2 linked regions of the Tribolium castaneum genome follow. The protein of the gene in region 2 interacts with the protein of the main gene of each other region in a pairwise test. Links are inferred from orthologs where the notes say so. Each region holds a gene or a part of one and is shown on either strand. Other genes may lie near its edges.

Region 1 (3,147 bases), on a different chromosome or scaffold from region 2:
ATGGTCCGTTTCAGATCTTATTAGCAACAGCTGTCAGTTTTAAAAAATAATTTTCTCTTTGAATTATTGTTTTTTTTGGCTTTAAATTTGTCGTTGGGATTTTCTTTAACACAGAATCCTTTTCTTTTTTTGCAGAATCTCTAAATTTTTTTTTTAGTAAGACCTAATATGAGACATATCTACAAAAAGAATGCTCGAGTTGGCAAATCTAAATCTTTTTTTTAAGTGGTTCGACTAATGATAGCTTCTCCGTATCCAGTTGCTGAATAAGAAAATTCTTTAAATTTGTTACCAACTAAAACAATTATTCTTGATTTTTTTGTGTTTAATTCTTGAATTTTTTGAGACTTTTTAATACGTGATTAGATAAAAGACTAGAGGGAAAATAAAACAAGAGTATATTTTGTCTGCTTTATTCAAGTAACGATACCTTAACAATTACAAAATTATAAATTAACGAAGATAAACTACATAATTATAAAAGAATGTTTTTATCACTAATTTTGCGGAATCTTATTTACATAAAGATAAAACGGTACAGTGTTTAAGTAATGAATAAAGTAAAATATCTTAAAATTTTTATTTCTTAGCAATACAGCCCTGCCAGAGAAGCCCTCCGCAAGCCATGCAAACAATAAAATAAACAATCACAGTAATAATCACACCAATGATAACATAAAGCTTAACGTTTTTCCAAAACATGGAACGTGCCAGATTGCGACTTGTCTTCCTGAACGTCACAGACTGAAAAAAAGTTTCAGAAAAAAAAACAACTTTTTATTAAATACTCACCCCACTATTCAAATTTTCAGCTTTATTTACTAACAGTTCCAGCCTTTCTCCCCTCATCGCCACATTATCTTATCAATGAACGCAGTAATAAATATCACATACAAAATATTTATTCACACTCACCTATATTCTTGACCATAATATTTTTAAGTTCATCCAACTCTCCATGAACTCTTGAAATTGTATCCACATCATGGGATTCGGAATAATGTTTCATTTCGTTGGCTAGAACCCTGGAAAATTCAGAATTCATCGCATATGCAATCGCAGTCTGGATAGAGTCCCCATATTGGGACCTGAAACGCCTTTTAATTTCATTGAGAAATAAAAACGCCCGTGACCTCTCAAACTCCTGAAACAATGATGACAATACAACCAAGTATTTACGCGACATTCCACGTTACATCGTCAGTAATACACATGTAAATAACTTGGTTTTCACAAACATAGTGGAACAAATAGTTCCCGTGCGAGTACGTCAACTTATCATCATGTGGTGGTATTTTTCCGATGATCTGTTCAGTAACTTCAGCGAAATTCCCGGCGCAAGAGGCATATCGAACTAGAACGGTGCTTCCCCGAGATATTACACTATAAAGAATTGGCATCTATAATGAATAAACAATGTTAATTGATCCTAAACAGTTGGGACGTAATTACGTTTTATTTTTTCCGATTTACGTTGACACCTTCACATAAACGCCAAAAATGCCACACACGTAACAATGATAAAAACGCGCACAACGAACACAAATATCTTTGAATTAATTGGTATTATTATAAAAAATTGAGAACAATAACAAAAACGTCATGTGTCACACTGACGTTTGGTTTCAAAGTGCGCATGCGTCAGCGATGACTCAGTCGATGTTCTAAATACCACACCAGTGGCGTCCGTGCATTTTCAAAATTTCTCCAAAAAAATAATTTCATAGTAAAATTCGGCCACGATACCGAAAGTAACACCTTGGTTTAGTTTGAGTGAGATTTATTTGAATCAAATAAAACGTGTTACAAGCGTTGTTAGATGTTGTGGTTTTTGAAAATCGAGTGGCGCGTTGTCAAAGAATTCAAAAAATGTGGCCGAGCAAATAATTCCAATCATTTCAATTTCATGGCGCAAATTATGGAATTCCTGTTAAATTTATTGTTACTGCGTGGGAAGGTTTTAACCACAGCAGCGGCCGAGACACTCCACGAATATATCAAAAAATGTATGCACTTCAAGCGAAAAATTTCGACCGAATACAGCAACGCGACCCAAATAATCCCGTTTGAAAACATGTTGGAGTTTATCAACAACTCGAGCAAATACACCTGTGAGGGAGACGTTGTGACGAACGATCTCCGCTACTTGTACGAACACATAAACCGGGTAAAGCAAGAAAATGAGAAACATACACATACTGTTGCTTTGGTGCCGCAAACCGTTGATAAAAAATTGGAAGAGTTGCCGAAAAACCAAAATTTGAACACAGTCCCTGAATGGTTGCGCCGTGAACACACCAAAATTAACGAGTTTAAAGTGAAAAGTCAGGAACACATCATTGACAACTTGCACGCAATCCTCAAATCGCAAGAGTTTCTCTTCAAGAATATCATCAAACTGGTGAACATCCTCGAGAAGGATGCCCTCATCAACTCAAACAGCGAAAAACTGGACAAAATCAAGAGGAAACTTGTCGCATGCACTGATATTTTGTCAAACGCAGCCACTTCGCAACAATTCACAAGCCTCATCAATAAAATAATCGAAGAAGAGATCACGCGTTGTAGATTCAGGCACGGCGAAAGCAAAACCAGCGCTGAAATTAACTTAAAAGTGCCGAAACCTGAGGGAATCGAAGCTGCTTTGGACATGTCGCACAAGAACAACGACATCAGAAGAATGAAGAAACAACTAGCTGAGAAAATTGCAAAACCAAGCGTACAAAATAAACAGAATGAGCGTTTAAGGGGCCGTATTATTGACCTGGAAGTGAAAACAAACTCCGCCAAGTTACTAAAACGGGCGAGATCCGAGCCAGTTTTGAACGAAAACCGAAAATTGGAAACCATCTGGAAGAAAACACAGATTGAGATTGAAGAATCCAAAAAAGTGATACAAGTCAATGAAGACCGTTTCAAGAAATTTGAAAACACACTTTGGCACACCTTAACAACCATGAAATTTTTGTCGCTGAAAAGTGATTACGCAAATATGACTAAGTGTGCGTTCTATAATAAGAGACAGTTTGTGGCGACGGAAGCAACAATTTCGAAAAAAGTCCAAGGAGAGGAAAAGTTCGGCAAGTTTGTTAAGATAAGTAACTCCATGTTCCACATTACGGAAAAACGTCTGTCGTTTGAGGAGGG
Region 2 (4,325 bases):
ACCAAAACCATCACCGAGATGAAATTTCCTCCTAGTTTCCACCCACGCCATTCCAAGGGTATAAAAGTTGCAATGTGGGGGTTGCGAGTCAGTTATTCAGTTGCATTTAGCTAGAATAGACGTTCGCAATGTTCGATAGAAAGTTAGTTTTTGCTCTCGTTTTCGTCGTTTTTGCCACTTTAGCGGTCGAAGGCAGGTATCTACCAACGAGGTCCAACGGGGACAGGATCGAAAAACTCCGCGAGTTGCTCAAAGACGTAAGTAAAAAAAATTGAGATTTTTCAACACAAATTGAATAGTTGTTCGAAAATGAGGTCGAGAAAGAAGAGTACCAGGCCGACGCGCCCCCGCGGTGGCACCCCGAAAGCAAGCTCTTCTACAAACGCGAGGCCCCCGCACACTAGACCACCCCCACAACGACAAGGCAACGGACACGGAACACGATTTTTAAACATTCAATGTCATAGGTAGACACATTTTAAACTTTATTTTATTACCGACAAGAACAATTATTTTTGTAAATAAGTGGCCCCCTGATTGACAATAACGCCACGACCCTTGATAAGCAATTATGTAGTTTTAGGGAATTGTGTCAATTACTTGACAATATTATCATTTTAGAATTGATTGAGAGACCGTCCCGAGGGAGGTTGTCGGTAATAAAGCTCTTTATTGCAATTTGTGAAGCAATATTTTGACGAAACTTTTAATAAGTGTGTCATTTGTAATATCCTAAGGTGTCTTATTAAAGTGTTACATGGAATATGTGCATGGGAATAAAAATATATGAACATCCAATCGCTTTTTATTATTTACAAACTAATAGTTAAGTTATTGCGTTGTCTGCTCCTCCCACGGCCGGGGCCCCCTGACCTGCTCCCAATTATCGATATCAATCTTCTTGATCTTCTCGTACTCCGACTCGAGCGTGACTTCGCCCGGTTTCTTCATTTCAATCCCCAATTTCTTCATTTCTTCGGGCTTAACACTGGAGACTCGTGAAAACTGATACCTCAACTGTGCAAATTCACGGAGCCCGAACGAACCCCCCAAAACCACAAGAAGAAACGGCAAACCATATTTCACCGAACGTTTATTCAAAAACTCGTTTATTTTCGCCCCCACGTTATGCAACATTTTTTGAGGTTATGTCACCACATTTGGTAAAAAACAGTTTTGGGGGTAACAACCGGTCGGTGAACCTCCCCCAGGGATAAAATCACCAGTTTTGATCAATTATACGACTCGTCAAGGGCTAGGAACGCGTTTATTGTGTGTTATTTTGACGAGCCGCCACTGTCATCTGTCATTAACTTGTCAGTTGTCAACGTGGCTACGAAAAGTAAAAAACTGGGGCGAACGCTCGAGCGCCCCTTTAAAACATCCTGTGATATGAAAGAACTGAAATTCGGGCGATTCTGTGCGGAACTATTGCCCCAATTCGAACAAACTGGTCGGGTGGCTGTGTCGCCCCCTGATTTGATTTAGTCAGTTTTTTACGCAAAATGGCCTTAAAGAAGGTTAAAGGGAACATTGAACGCATGTTCGACAAGAATTTGACCGATTTGGTCCGCGGGATCCGCAATAATAAGGAGAATGAGGTTTGTGCAAAAAACGAGGTTATGTTAGTTGCCCCCTTGATTGTAGGCGAAGTACATCTCGCAATGCATGGAGGATATCAAGCAGGAGCTGCGACAGGATAATCTCTCAGTTAAGAGTAACGCAATCGCGAAATTGACTTATGTGAGTGATTTGGTAAATGATTTCGATTGATTGTGGTTTTTAGTTGCAAATGCTGGGGTACGATATTTCGTGGGCCGGCTTTAACATAATCGAAGTGATGAGTTCGAGTAAATTTACGCTGAAACGGATCGGTTATCTCGCGGCTAGTCAATCGTTTCATTGTGATTCAGAGGTGGGGTAATTAAGTCCGATTAAAACGTTGATTAATTGGGATTTTAGTTGCTCATGTTGACCACTAATATGATTAGGAAGGAGTTAAACTCGCAAAATCAGTACGAATCGGGGCTGGCCTTGACGTCCCTCAGCTGTTACATCAGCACTGACTTGGCCAGAGACCTTTCAAACGATATTTTAACTCTTGTAACTACCCAAGTCATTTAATCAAACACAACTAATTGTTGCTTTTAGTTAAGTTCCACTAAACCCTACATTCGGAAAAAAGCCGTTCTAATGATGTATAAAGTGTTCCTCAAATATCCCGAAGCCCTACGTCCTGCCTTTCCTAAACTAAAAGAAAAGTTAGAGGACCCCGATCCGGGGGTTCAGTCGGCTGCAGTCAATGTTGTGTGTGAACTGGCACGAAAAAACCCCAAAAATTATCTAAGTCTGGCCCCAGTTTTTTTCAAATTAATGACCACAAGCACCAATAATTGGATGCTAATTAAAATAATCAAACTGGTAAGTAGTTCGTATTTTTTTGACTACGGACAACTAAATACTAGGATGCGGGACGATGTACGAATAAAATGTCCCCGTTTTTGGGAGTTCCATCACCGACGGCAGATGGCGCAATATTAAAAAATATATTGTGTAGCACAGACTTGATCGGAATAATTTTTTAAATTTGCGATTATAAATTAATAATTAAATTTTTTAATAAAATAAAATAAATTAAATTGAGTGAATGGCAACTAAATGTAACTGAAAAATATTTGACTGACGTATTTTTATTGTTATTTTTATGCCGTAAAGCTAACTGTTCTTTAGTAAAAGAATATCAAACTAATTCATTACTCATTACAAATAATTAAAAAAAATATATATTCAGCGACTCAGTATTAAATAATTATTTTTGATTATAAAGAATAACTATTATAGACAAATTTTGAAAAAAATTACAAGTATACAGAAAAAATAAAGTATTTAATAGTAGTAAAAGCTTATTATACTGCTCTTCAAAAAATAACTTTTTTTAAATCGTTGATTTTACTTAAAACTATAACTGTAAAGTTAATAATTGGGACAATAATTTATAACTAATGGTATAATTTGTTCCAAACCTCTATAAATCATTTAAAAAATTGACTATAGCATTTTTTATTTTTTTTCTTTTTCATATTTTTCATTAAAGTTTTAACGTATGCTATTTTAAAGTATGCTATCATTGCATCTGACGATCTTTTGACTATTTCCTATAATATCGTTACTTATCTATATGTGTAATATTTCTTGAAGAAACCTTTCATGTCTATCGATACTGTGCTAAGATTTTTTACCAAAAATCTAAGGGAGAATAAAAAAAATTGAAAAGACATGTTATATTTTTCAGCCCCTTATAGGAATAAAAAATTCTCTGAGGATTCCCTGGTAGTTTTCAATCTTTTTTTTATTTTATATGCACACACATAAAAAACAAAAAAAAAATTTTGAGAAAAGAAAAAAATATTTGAAAAAAGTCTATATTATAGGAAAAAACTGAAAGTAGTGCGTTTAAATCTTTTTATACTAATTTTATTTAAAGGAGAATTGCGTTACAGACCAGTCTTATCTTCGATTACTAATTATTTTTTGAAATATAGAAGATATAGTACTTTTACCCCTTTACTCCCTATTTCTAATACGCTCTTATAAATAAGGTTGAAGATATAAAAAAGGTAAGGAACTAAGTTGTAGAGAATTAAATATTCTTTAAAAAAAATTGTAGTCTAAGATTAGAAGAATTTGAAAGATTTGGAAAATGCTTTTTCTCATATTTATCTTGAAAATTTTAGACAGTAGTAATGAATAAATAATAAAAGTAATTAATATATTTTTGGGTACAAAAAAAGTCGAATTATTTTGTATCTCGTTTCGCCTCCTAGCATATAGTTCTCCGTATTTTTTTTAAATTAACTGGATTAGGTCCTTTGATAAAGAAAACAACGCTTTTTATTTTAGTTCGGTGCTTTAACGCCTCTTGAACCTAGGCTAGGTCAAAAGTTGATTGAGCCTTTGACTAATCTCATACACAGGTAGGGTTGCGCCCTTTGTTTTATCATAATTGTTTTAATTATTGTAGCACTTCGGCAATGAGTCTCTTATATGAGTGTATAAATACGGTTATAGCAGTTTTGATAACAATATCGTCAGGAATGCCCAATCACGCCGCTAGCATACAACTCTGTGTCCAAAAACTGCGGATTTTGATTGAAGATTCCGACCAGAATTGTAAGTTTAGCGTGGGGCGAGTCATGTGTTTTTTTTTTCTTAAATTATTTTAACAATAATCACGTCACTCGCTCCATTAATTCGTAATCAGCGCCTTAACAACCGACTTCCAGTGAAATATTTGGGCCTTTTGGCGATGTCAAAAATCCTCAAAA

Evidence for each region.
Region 1: the proteins of g (region 2) and Vamp7 interact in a two-hybrid assay, tested with the Homo sapiens proteins (2 studies listed by BioGRID and IntAct). The link is inferred for Tribolium castaneum from reciprocal best matches to the Homo sapiens genes AP3D1 and VAMP7.

The regions. Positions count from the first base shown.
Region 1 is NC_087402.1:8,581,240-8,584,386, reverse strand, and holds Vamp7 (vesicle-associated membrane protein 7), read right to left. Parts: upstream 1,645-3,147; 5' UTR 1,453-1,644; intron 1,401-1,452; coding exon 1,197-1,400; intron 1,145-1,196; coding exon 916-1,144; intron 861-915; coding exon 793-860; intron 745-792; coding exon 580-744; 3' UTR 567-579; downstream 1-566. Other genes in the region: uncharacterized protein LOC103312779, read left to right, coding at 1,919-3,147. UniProt on the Homo sapiens protein: Involved in the targeting and/or fusion of transport vesicles to their target membrane during transport of proteins from the early endosome to the lysosome. Required for heterotypic fusion of late endosomes with lysosomes and homotypic lysosomal fusion.
Region 2 is NC_087401.1:15,046,764-15,051,088, forward strand, and holds the start of g (AP-3 complex subunit delta), read left to right. Parts: upstream 1-1,461; 5' UTR 1,462-1,505; coding exon 1,506-1,601; intron 1,602-1,647; coding exon 1,648-1,743; intron 1,744-1,786; coding exon 1,787-1,915; intron 1,916-1,962; coding exon 1,963-2,103; intron 2,104-2,151; coding exon 2,152-2,421; intron 2,422-3,900; coding exon 3,901-3,974; intron 3,975-4,021; coding exon 4,022-4,170; intron 4,171-4,283; coding exon 4,284-4,325. Other genes in the region: uncharacterized protein Proc, read left to right, coding at 129-257, 300-404; l(3)neo43 (cytochrome c oxidase assembly protein COX16 homolog, mitochondrial), read right to left, coding at 832-1,137. UniProt on the Homo sapiens protein: Part of the AP-3 complex, an adaptor-related complex which is not clathrin-associated. The complex is associated with the Golgi region as well as more peripheral structures.